Coturnix japonica: one gene and its partners. The protein of the gene in region 2 binds, or shares a complex with, the protein of the main gene of each other region. Links are inferred from orthologs where the notes say so. Each region holds a gene or a part of one and is shown on either strand. Other genes may lie near its edges. The genes, in order: TIMELESS, PARP1 and SMYD2.

Region 1 (4,289 bases), on a different chromosome or scaffold from region 2:
AGCCCCTGGATGACGTAGGAACCACGGAAACGAGAGTGTCTGGAGGGGAGAATGCACATGATGAGCCATGTTGGCTTTACGACAGGGCCCTGACCCCCCCTCCAGCCCCCTCCCCACCTGGCTGGGCGCTGCAGCATCCGTGCTCTGTGCTCTGCCAGCTCCCGCTGCCTCAGACTCTGCAGCTCCTGTGTGTCCTCCCCACACTCTGCACCCACCCGTCCCTGTCCCAGCGCTGCCAGCTGCTCCGGGCTCTGTAGGGTGGGATTAGGGGGTGTCAACAGAGCTGGATGGGGGGCTGGGGGTGGTCTCCGTGCCCACCACGCTCACCTGGTCACGGAACATGAGGGAGATGATCTCAAGGACGTGCAGAGCCCATTGCTGCTCAGTCGGCGCGCTGGCCAGGAACTTGAGCAGGTCATCCATGCCACTGATATGCAGAGCCCACAGCACGCGGTCGTGCACGCTGGCATCGCCATCCACACCCTGAGGGGCAGCACAGAGGGGGGTGGGCAGCACGTAGGGCACCTTACAGTGGGGATCCCTGTGTCTGTACCCCCCCCCCCCCTCCTTCCCAATACCTGCTCCTCAGCGGGGTCGGGGGGCACGTGCAGCACGTTGCGCACCAGCAGCAGGATCCGCTCGATCAGCAGCGTGTCCTCCTCCTGCCGCTGCTCCCAGTCCTGCAATGTATGGCTGTCAGCAACCCCATAGCCCACCCCAGACCCCCCCCCAGACCCCCAGCTCCACCCCCAGACCCCCAGCTCCCTATCTTCCCCCCCAGACCCTCAGTCCCATTGTCTCCCCCTCCCCCCACCGACTCTCAGCCCCACTGCCAACCCCCAGGCCCTCAACCCCACAGCCACCTCCCCGGGACCCCGTCCCATAGATCCCCCCCCAGCCCCATAGATCCCCCCCAGCCCCATAGCTCAGCCCCAGACCCTCAGCCCCATTGTCCCTCCACCCTGACTCTCAACCCCACAGCCACCCCCCTGGGCCCCCAGCCCCAGAGCTCCCCCCCTAGCCCCATAGCTCAGCCCCAGACCCTCAGCCCCATTGTCCCCCCTACCCCAACTCTCAGCCCTACTGCCACCCCCACCCTGCCCTCAACCCCACAGCCCTGGGTCCCCAGCCCCATAGCTCCCCCCTAGCCCCATAGCTCAGCCCCAGACCCTCAGCCCCATTGTCCCCCCACCCCAGCTCTCAGCCCCACTGCCACCCCCCCAGGCCCTCAACCCCATAGCCACCCCCTCAGGCTCCCAGCCCCATAGCTCCTCCCTAGCCCCATAGCTCAGCCCCAGACCCTCAGCCCCATATCCCTCCAGCACCCACCAGCTGCAGCACTTCATAGAGCTTCTCGCTCAGCACCCCAAACACCTTCTCACTGGCGAACGCCTGCAGAAAACCCCTTATGAGCACCATGTGTGCGTGTTCGGGGGGGGGGGGGGGGAATTTGAAGACCCCCCCTATGGCTGTATCCTCACATCCTCACCTCTTTATACGCCTGCAGGTAGGACAGCACCTGCAGGAAGTGATGCCGGGCGGTGGCGTCTGACGGCACTTTACCGAAGCAAAGCAGCGCTGGCTGTGTCAGGTTCACCATCAGCCTATAGGGGTGTGGGTGGGATTCAGGACCCCAGCCCATGCTGCCCCCGCACCATCCCCCCCATCCCTACACCCCGGTACCTGATGACGGTATCGAACAGGGTCCGATCCTGCGGGTATTGAACGAGCAGAGGCAGCAGATCGTTCTGTAGGATCTGAGCCGCTCCCAGCTGCTGCCGCACGTCCCGACTCTCATCCTCGTGCCGCAGGTACCGGATCAAATCCTTCACGCTCTCTACGGGAGGGGTCGGTCAGAACACGCCCCCCCCCCCCCCCCCCCCCCCCCCCCCCCCCCCCCCCCCCCCCCCCCCCGACGCCTTCAAGCGGCAACGCCCGCACCCACCGGGTCACCCCCCCCCCTTCCTCCACGCACCGCCCACTATAAACAATACCCACGCACCGTAACGCGCTTCTCCCCCCTCACCCTCCCTTGCGGTGAACACTCGCCCACCCCCGTTATCCCCGCACCGCGCTGCTCCCCTCAATGGCCCCACCTCGACGTTGCCCTTTTAAGAAAGGCTCACGCTGCGCTGTAGCCCCGCCCCGTGGGCGGGACATCGCCTGGGGCGCGGGAAGTCACCGCACCGCGCTCTGCCCCCCACCCCCATTAGCCCCCATATCCCCCCATACCCCCATTTAACCCCCCATATTCCCCCTCCCCATATCCTCCATAACCCCCCATTACCCCCACCCCCATACCCCATTAATCTCCATATCCCCATACCCCCCATTTACCCCCCCATATACCCCCCATTTACTCCCATTTACCCCCCATATCCCTCCCCCCCCATTACCCCTCCACATCCCCTCACCCCATTACCCCCCCATTTACCCCCCATATCTCTCACCCCCATATGCCCCCCATATCCCCCATATACCCCCCCATATACCCCCATATCCCCCATACCCCCATTACCCCCCCATACCCCCATTACCCCCCCATATCCACAACCCACACAACATAACACCCCCATTACCCCCCATTACCCCATTACCCCCATACCCCCATTACCCCCATTACCCCCCATATCCCCCCCCCCCCCCACGAGAGCCGTTACAAAATTAAGCGTAGGTTTAATTTTCACCGAACACAGAAGCTCGGTCACGGCGGGGGGGGCCGGGGTTGTTGCGGGGGGGGGTGAGGCCGTTCGACCTCTCCGCCAACTCCCCCCACGCACACCGACGCCGCACACACACGCACCGCAACGCCCCGACACCAGCAAAGGCGGCCCCGGGTTGGGGGGGGGCGGCCCTATAACCCCTATAGCCCCCATAGCCCCTATAGACCCTATAGCCCCTATAGACCCTATAGCCCCTATAGCCCCTATAGCCCCTATAGACCCTATAGACCCTGAGTCTTCAGCCTCCAGCGTTCAGCCGGTAGCAGATTCGGCGGGGGGGCGCGGTGACGGGGGGGCTCCCCCCGCAGCACGGCAGGCGTTCAGCCATGCTGACGGCCCGAGGACACAGCGCCAGCTCGTACAAAAACAGAAGCCAGCCAAACCCGGCACCGAGCAACGGACCGCCCAGAAACAAACCTTACGGGAATTGGGGAGCGGGGCGGCGTGGGGGGGGGAGGCGAGGGGACCCCCCACCCACCCGAGATAAGGGGAAAAAATGTGGGGAGGAAAGGGATCACTGAGTGGGGTGATAAGGGATGCCCCCCCCCCCCCCCCCCCAAGGTGGGGATGACTGGGGGCTGCTGCAGGCTGTTGGGTTGTGGGTGGGATGGGGGCATAGGGGGCAATGGGACAGAAGTGGGATGGATTGGGTTGGGATGAGATGGAGTGGGATGGGACCGGGATGCACTGGGATAGGGCTGCAGTGGTCTGATTGGGATGGACTGGGGCAGGAATGGGATGGACTGGGATGGACTGGGATGGACTGGGATGGACTGGGTGGGATTGCGGTGGGTTGAGGCTGATTGGGATGGACTGGGGCAGGAATGGGATAGACTGGGTTATACTGGGATAGAACTGGGATGGGACTGGGATGCACTGGGACAGGACTGCAGTGGACTGATTGGGATGGACTGGGTCAGGAGTAGGATAAACTGGGTTATACTGGGATAGCACTGGGATGCACTGGGTGGGACTGCAGTGGATTGAGGCTGATTGGGATGGACTGGGGCAGGAATGGGATGGACTGGGATGTACTGGGATAGAACTGGGATGGGACTGGGATGGACTGGGATAGGGCTGCAGTGGACTGATTGGGATGGACTGGGGTAGGAATAGGATGGACTGGGTTATACTGGGATGGACTGGGTGGGATTGCAGTGGGTTGAGGCTGATTGGGATGGACTGGGACAGGTCGGATGATGGGTTGGAATGGACTGAGCTGGACCGCAGGGTCCCCCCCACTTACCCAGTGGTTGGTGAAGTTGCGGGTGATGACAGCGGGGGCAAAGGAGCGTGCAGGGTTCATACCAGCACCAGTGTATGGGATCTGCGGGCAAGGAGGGGGTGGTGGGTGAATGCTGCCCCCCACCCCTACCCCATGGGGCTGCCACCCCCCCTTACCCCAAAGAGGTGTCCGAGGGCGAGGGAGAAGCCGACGGGCAGCGCAGCGGAGCCGGGGCGTCCATCATGGCGCTCATCGAAGCTGGCGAAGACGCAGAGGATGAACTGAGCCGTCAGCAGCAGCTCCACCACCGTGCCCTGACCTGGACCCACACTGGGGTGCAG
Region 2 (3,598 bases):
AAAGCATCTGCCAGATGCTTCAGTGCCATTGCACACCGCAGTATAACAGACAGTTTCCTGCTGCAATATTCAAATTTCCATTAAGAAAGCTAACCATGGACTGCTTCACACTGAAAGACGACATCCAGTAACATGGCTACAGAAAAATACAATGGCTTCAAAACCTCTGATGTCTTTATAGCTATTAGCAGCATTCAGCTATGTTACCTAAAAATAGACTAAGTTATGGGTATGTCTTTATACAAGTACATAAACTCCCACCGGGTAGAAGGGATAGAATTCCTATTTAGTATAGCTGTCTAAATAGCCAAATCCTACTGGTAACAAATATTTTCTCCTTATCAGCTTGCTCAACATACACACTGAGCACTGGGCTGCATTAAGATTCATTTTACCATTTGGGAGAATTTTGAATGCAGAAAATAGATGAAATTTTAAATAGAACAAAATGGGGAGCTTGTGAAATGACTGCTTACTTCATCTCAAATTAACTTCTGTAAGATTACACAGAGTAAACAAGAATAATTGTCCCCCCTGCAGTCTCCTTGCTGTGCTTACCATAATAATTTGTGCAGCAAAACCCCTGCACTTCATCCCTTTGTTTGTTAAAGTGTCAACGAGCACAGAAGAGTTACAGGAAAGCAGCTGAGCAATGCTCTACCTGGCATAGGGACATTTAACAGTTACCTGTCCATAATCTATTTCCAGTGGGTAGAATTTTTTGGGATATTTGGTGAAGTTCTTTGAATGCCAAGAATTGCCAGTTTTTTCTTCATACAAATTTAGGAAATGTTCAACAGCATCTTCTTTTGATGGCATCTGCTCCAGCTTGTTACTCCCAATGACAGTGCCCACACGACCCCAGGATCTGAACACCCAGTACCTAAGAAGTGAAACCCAAGAAAAAAAAGCAGATGTAAAGGTTCTGGCTCTATAGACCTCAGCCCAAATGAAACCGATTCTGCAACTGTGAATCAGCCATTTGCATGTTGTTAATTTAAGGAGACATTCTGCAAGAACGCAACAGAAGAGCCACCACAGCATCTATGTCCAATAACAGGTGTAAAGAACACCTGCTGTAAACACACCAGACGTACAGCTCTGAAGATGATTGCACACACAGCACGAGAGAAAAGGGGAAAGAAAAAAAGAGGCTATTACCACTTGAGTCAATATTTTACAAACACACATCTTCAGACTTTTCAGTTCATGTATTTGGGAAAAAAAAAACAACAAATATGGGGAAGACTCCCGACATCACAGACCTTATGAGTGGGCTCCTGGATGTTAAAACAGAAAAATCTCCTGTATTTTTATGGGCTGCTGTCAGTCACAGAGCACTGAGACCCTCCTGTCTTCTTAGGACTAGGTTAATTGAATATCCATTGTACGCACCTCACTCATCCCACGATGCGCAAATGAATTCAAACAATTCAACAGCTCCCCCTTAGCTCCTCCCACCTTTTAAAACAAACATATCTATCTATCCATAACTCCTTACAGCAACATTTTACTTATTTCTTCCTTTTGTAGAAGCCAAAATTCCAGAACTCAGTAGGAAAAAAAGCAAACAAAGTCATTTCAGGGGAAAATTGAACTCACCTGCTCTCTCTGTCATCCTCTAGCAGCTGCAGTTTGTAATAGGAATTTGTTCCTTTCACAATATCCACCAGGCCAAGAGTTGCACTGAAAATCTTCCCACCTTTTTCAAAGACATGAGCAGAATCCTCCAAACCTACAAAGAAGGAACAGAATTAGAATACAGAGGTTACCATTTTAGGTTTCTTTCCTACATTCATGTTCACAAAAGTGTTTCAAAATTGCGAGAAAATTATCAAAATATCAGAAAGAAGAGTGGTAACATGCTCAGTAAAATCTATTAAAATCTTACTTTTGTACACATTGCAGGTACATGGTTTCAGGTGCACTAGAATGAACCTCAACCCTGACCTGAGAAAAACTGTACACTTGAGAAAGGGCAACCAGGAGTCTAGCACTGAACACTGCGTGACTGGCTAGAAGAATTCTCAAGAGAGACATAACTTTACAGGTGTCACATTAAAAAAAAGACTGAAAAAAACGAAGGCTGGCCTTGGTTGCAGTACAAATTCGAAGGACAGCAGTACAAATTTTAAGGACAATGCCTGTACATTATCAATTTGGAAAGCAGCATCAGTTGCTTCTGCTCAAAGAGTCCTGAGGCAAACGCTTATGCCAGGCACTGCTGCCTAAGTCTTTATCCACCCCTCCAACATGTTTCTGAAGCTGAAAAATGAATATAGCTTAGTTTAAATGAACCTCCTGAAAGATGCACTGGAATATCCTAGATCATCCAAGCTTTAAAGTGTCAATCAATAGCCTTCTTTCGATAGTGAGAAAAGCTATCTTAAGAATTCTGCTTCCTTTTACAGCCCCCTTAACTTTTACATCAATGACTGCAAACCCTTTTACTTCCACAGAAAGATAAAAATAAGAATGCTGCAAACAAGCCATGCATCCTGAAGACTTTGGTGCTATTGTTTGCACTTACCAGAATCAGGATCTACTGCTGCTCCACCTTTAACTGTTAGCTTCATTTTCTTTTCAGACTTGCTAGGTCCTGCAGGGATAAGAAGTTATTTTTCCTTCAAAGGCAATACAGTTTGACTTGATTCAAGATATAAATTCCCAATTTGCATAATTATTACCTTAATGAGACTTCAAATCAGATTCCCAGTACAATACCCCCAGCACTTCAATGGCTTTCTACCTGCCTTTAGCAGCTAATTCACAGCTGCCTCCCCCCACAAGGAAATGAAAACCAAGATCTCCCCAGATAACATCTACCTTCCTTCCTCCTGACCCCAATATCATTTTTCCAACTACATGACAGAAGGTCACGTTTGTGGCTGTATTGAAGTGGGATTTTAAAACTTCACTGGGCACGTGGGACATTCAGTACTCACGCAGATCCTTCTACTGTTTGTGTGGCAATAACACAAAACTGAACAACACAAGCTAAAAGCTTGGGGGCTATGGAAAAAGAAGTTGAGCACATCTAATGGTTTTATTCACATTCCAGCATGAATAATGCAAGGTTGCTGTGGCAGTTGTGAAGACTACTGCATGGTGGTGATGAGCTGACAGTTGAACTACATGATCTTACTGGTCTTTTCCAACCTTAACGATTCTATGATTCTGAAAGTGCCACTGAGACAGAAGCTGTCAAGAGATAACTTCATACTCACTAAAACCTGATCTTACCTAAATCTTCATTATTTAAAATTTACTATGAGGGAGGGAAAAAAACCAAACAGTGAGAGAACTCTAGGAAAGGATGAGGCTGGACTATACCCAGATTTTCTTTGTGCACACAGAGCAATAAACAGGCCCCTGGAGAAACAACAACTTCATTCTTCACCTTGTTCTTCTTTGATCTTCCCAGCACTCTTCATATTTGGGGGCTTGCTGCACTTCCCATCCACCGCCACCTCCTGGTGCTCTGTTTTCACCTCTGCACCCCAAGGTGAAATGGCATGGAGAGAGAGAAGCTCCTGAAAGCTCTTGCTGGAAGATTTCACATCCTTAAGAAACTCCTCTGAGACCACACGAACTTTGG
Region 3 (3,598 bases), about 3.8 Mb from region 2:
GATGTCTCCCTCAAGAAATACACCAGTGGTGCTGTTGATAATTTTGCAGACCAAAAAAGACTTTTAGTTTCATTTCCTCATTTTCAGTTATTTCAAAGCGAAACGCACGTGTAATTTGATGTGACGTACACTCCCAATCTTTTTCTATGATCTCACAGCTTCTCCCACACTCCTCCCTTCCAAGCATGCAAAACGCAGGAGCAGCATTTACAGCACTTCAATTTCTGATGCAATGCCTACGTTGAACCTGAAGGTGGAGACACAGGCCGTAAGACTGCTCTGAGCCCAAGTAAAATCACCGGTCCGTTTAAATGTCAGAATAGAGACCGCAGAAAAGCAATGAGATCCTATAGAACCGATGCAGCTTCGAAAACACTGTTTAACCAAAAGACATCAGTAAGGTAAAATACTCCTCACTTCCCCTTCTAATTGCTCTCCAAAAAAGCTGAAAATGCCTGGACTCAATGGGAAAATTGCAAAACTCTCTGTCCGTTACCACAGTGCATCTGCAGTGACTGCCAACACTGCAGTGAGACCATAAGCAGCACATTGAGAAGGTGGTCACCTGAATTACCCTGTCCCAGCAACTGATGTCACTCGGTTCATAATGGTGAACAGCTGCAATCCAGGAAAACCACCCCTGTCTCCTTCACCAGAATTTCTGTTACATACTTCAGAAATCAGCTGGACTTGTCAAAATCAAAACTGAACTTGTTTTAATCAGCATTAACCTCAAAGGCTAAATTAACATTCGTGAATTAACAATTCATTAACAATGAATCTCCATGCAAACTCCATCTTCAGAGTATTTTCATCCCATGCAGACACATGAACAACTTCCCCAAGCCTGCCTAATACACAGATTTTTAATTGAACTTGTTATTATTTTTTAAAATTTTATTGAAGTAAAAATATTCTCTGCTGCCAAGTTCATTATTTGACTGAGAAGGTTTACCAGGGTCTTAATTTATCCATCACTGTTCAGCTTTGCTCCAATTAGAAAGATACTCAGGTTCTTTTGTGATTCCACAGCTAAACTCTGCTGAGTGATACGACTGGACAGAGCATCCACACAACACATGGGATTGAAACAGAAGTTAGAGGACTTATCTGTTCCCATTTACCTTGTTTATTCTGGCTTCGCTTCCATTACTATTATACTGGGAAGTATTACGGCAGTAATAATTTTCTTTGATCTTGGAATTTCAAAGCACCAGCCAAACATCAGCAAACTAAGCCTCCTTTTACAGACAGATAAACTGAGACAGAGGCTGGCAGATGTGCAGTGACTGATGCAGGTGCCCATCCCTTGTTTTAACACAAAATGGGACACCGCCTCCTAGAATCATTTCAGTCCTCCAGTACCACCCCAACTTTTCTAAAGCTACATCTCAGGCTTCTCTGAGAAACAAGAGATTCTTCCCCCCTTATTATTAAACTGTCATCTAATCTGAACAAAGAATGAAAAGTGGGATGGATTCTGTTTTAGGACACACGTACACAGCGCTGCAGTACATTCAAGCATAGTGTACTCACCTCTTCTCCAGGCTCAATCTCTTTCACAGCTCTGACTTCAGCCAGCGTCCCTTTGTAAGTTACAATCACATTTGGGCAACAGCTATGGTTCATCAATGCAACACTGTAAAGGCAGAAAAGTGAACTTTTCTCCCTTCCCACCAAAAGCAACAGGCAAAAAGTTAAGCAACACTTCATAAAACAAACAAGCTTGAAAGGACTGAGTCAGCCTTCCTCTGCAAGCTGTTCTTAGTGAGGCTTAATATATGAAGGTAGCCTGGGGAAAATCTGTTGTGTTTTTATTTATCCTATCAATATGGAGAATGGCCATTTTAATGGATCACTGTGATTTTAAAATCTTATTATAGCCGGACTAGGCAAGTTATTATTTCCCCATTCTTACAGCTCTACAATATAGCTGACAGGCTATTTGCACACCTTAACTAATAGCAACCAGATATTTCGCTATCTGTAAGAAACAGACTATTTTCTTCTTAGGAGAAAGAAAGAGAAACCCATTTAGGTACAAGGAAACAAGCAAATACAGTTGCTGCACACATTTAAGATCAATGTTAAGAATTTATCTCACTTCTATGCAAACATAAACAGCCTCCACCCTTAAAGTGTGAAGGAGATCTCTGTTTGATATACCAGCACATATGTTACACAAAAAAACCTCAAGACTGCTACTGAAAAGTGCTTTCCTCTGATACCAAGCTTGGAAGTGCAATATGCTGCTTACTTAAGATAAAACGTTTAATCTTAATTCTTTCTCTTCGAAGCTATTGAAATAATAAAAATGTCTTTTCATAGTGGCTCAGATGCTGAGCATTTACAAAGGATGGTGTTGCACTCAGTTCCAAAGGATCTTGGTTTCATACTCTATTCCCACCATGACTGTGTTCCTGGATGAGATTTCACGGCCTTCAGGGATAAGAAATACACAGTGCAGCCCTGCTGAAGCAAGGACCTGTATACGGCAAATCAAGCCCTTCTCTAACTGGGCACCAGGACATTTGAAATTGCTTTGACATAATTACTACTAATCCACACCTCATGGGGAAATTGCTAGCACTTGCAGTGTGGAGTTTGCAAAGAACAGAAGCAGAATGGGAAGCAGAGACTTGAAGGGAAAAAAGTTAGACTGCCTCACAGAGAGCTGTACTTCCCAGTCAACAGACTGCAGTTAATGACTAACATTTGCAGTTTGTTTGTAAAGCTGAGGAGGTTGTACATATTTTTTTCCCACTGTCGTAACAACATAAAGCATGGCAGTTTTTAAAACATCTGAAAGGCTGAAAGGCTGAAAGAAGTTATGAAAGAGATATATGGTTTGCAAAGGAACAAAGATAGAAGGGATGGGTTTTTTTGCTAACATCAGGTGGAGCATAATACCCAGGCAATGCAGAAACCTGTGGATAAAGCAAGTCACTTCCAATCCTTTTCATTTTGCTTTGATCATTACTTGATGTCCCTGTCCAGAACCTGCTAGCCAAGTAAGTCTGTCTCCTACCGACCTGTGTACAGTTCAGAGTCAGAGCTACAGGACTTCAAAACATCTTCCAAGTACAATTTTACCACATTTACCAGATTTATAAGCAGAACTGCTGCAAATCACTGGCAGATTTTATTAGTTAGCACATTTTAAACATGACAAATTAATACTAATTCTTTGATTTAATTTCTTTCAATACAGATCTAGTTCTAAGCATATGTAAGAACCTTTGTTTGTTTTTAAATGAATTGTTTTTATTATTTCTTTCACTATTAAACTCAACCTACTCAGGAAATATGGCTGATCCCAAATGAGAGAGTTCTTCATCTTCAATCGTGAAACCATTGCAGTTAACCTAGGAAAAAAGGGAGACTAACTCAGATTCTGGTCAATTTATATCACATTCTCATACTTAAAAGTTACGAGCAGCAATGTGCTTATAGTTTTCTTTACATCTCACCAGTATTCATGGAGAAACTACATGACATCTCAAAAAGTGAAGAACAAATCCACATCCAAAGGAACGTGCAGGATTACAAACTACTGTCAGTCGAATGCTTGTGCCTGCTCAGGACACAACATCTAAGG

The links.
Region 1: the proteins of PARP1 (region 2) and TIMELESS are in contact, whole or in part, in a crystal structure (PDB 4XHU), measured with the Homo sapiens proteins. The link is inferred for Coturnix japonica from reciprocal best matches to the Homo sapiens genes PARP1 and TIMELESS. Residues at the interface, in NP_001609.2 of Homo sapiens: Gln846, Lys849, Pro850, Phe851, Leu854, Arg878, Ile879, Ala880, Pro882, Asn928, Lys940, Lys943, Gly944, His946, Tyr992, Asp993, Ile994, Ala995, Gln996; in NP_003911.2 of Homo sapiens: Asp1036, Gln1040, Pro1043, Val1045, Pro1046, Leu1047, Thr1048, Glu1049, Glu1052, Glu1053, Glu1056, Ser1074, Gly1075, Gln1076, Glu1077, Thr1078, Phe1079, Arg1081.
Region 3: the proteins of PARP1 (region 2) and SMYD2 are in contact, whole or in part, in a crystal structure (PDB 9CKC), measured with the Homo sapiens proteins. The link is inferred for Coturnix japonica from reciprocal best matches to the Homo sapiens genes PARP1 and SMYD2. Residues at the interface, in NP_001609.2 of Homo sapiens: Thr526, Leu527, Lys528, Gly529, Gly530, Ala531; in NP_064582.2 of Homo sapiens: Thr105, Leu108, Val179, Asn180, Cys181, Asn182, Gly183, Phe184, Thr185, Glu187, Leu191, Ser196, Ala203, Met205, Tyr240, Ile241, Asp242, Ser257, Tyr258, Asn380.

The regions. Positions count from the first base shown.
Region 1 is NC_029544.1:1,738,082-1,742,370, reverse strand, and holds the start of TIMELESS (protein timeless homolog), read right to left. Parts: upstream 2,877-4,289; coding exon 2,804-2,876; intron 1,838-2,803; coding exon 1,684-1,837; intron 1,605-1,683; coding exon 1,490-1,604; intron 1,393-1,489; coding exon 1,330-1,392; intron 681-1,329; coding exon 579-680; intron 484-578; coding exon 328-483; intron 252-327; coding exon 118-251; intron 40-117; coding exon 1-39. Other genes in the region: lens fiber major intrinsic protein-like, read right to left, coding at 3,661-4,050, 4,125-4,289. UniProt on the Homo sapiens protein: Plays an important role in the control of DNA replication, maintenance of replication fork stability, maintenance of genome stability throughout normal DNA replication, DNA repair and in the regulation of the circadian clock.
Region 2 is NC_029518.1:14,826,177-14,829,774, reverse strand, and holds part of PARP1 (poly [ADP-ribose] polymerase 1), read right to left. Parts: coding exon 3,401-3,598; intron 2,600-3,400; coding exon 2,531-2,599; intron 1,736-2,530; coding exon 1,603-1,735; intron 884-1,602; coding exon 688-883; intron 1-687. UniProt on the Homo sapiens protein: Poly-ADP-ribosyltransferase that mediates poly-ADP-ribosylation of proteins and plays a key role in DNA repair.
Region 3 is NC_029518.1:18,623,238-18,626,835, forward strand, and holds part of SMYD2 (N-lysine methyltransferase SMYD2), read right to left. Parts: intron 3,366-3,598; coding exon 3,298-3,365; intron 1,640-3,297; coding exon 1,537-1,639; intron 1-1,536. UniProt on the Homo sapiens protein: Protein-lysine N-methyltransferase that methylates both histones and non-histone proteins, including p53/TP53 and RB1. Specifically trimethylates histone H3 'Lys-4' (H3K4me3) in vivo. The activity requires interaction with HSP90alpha.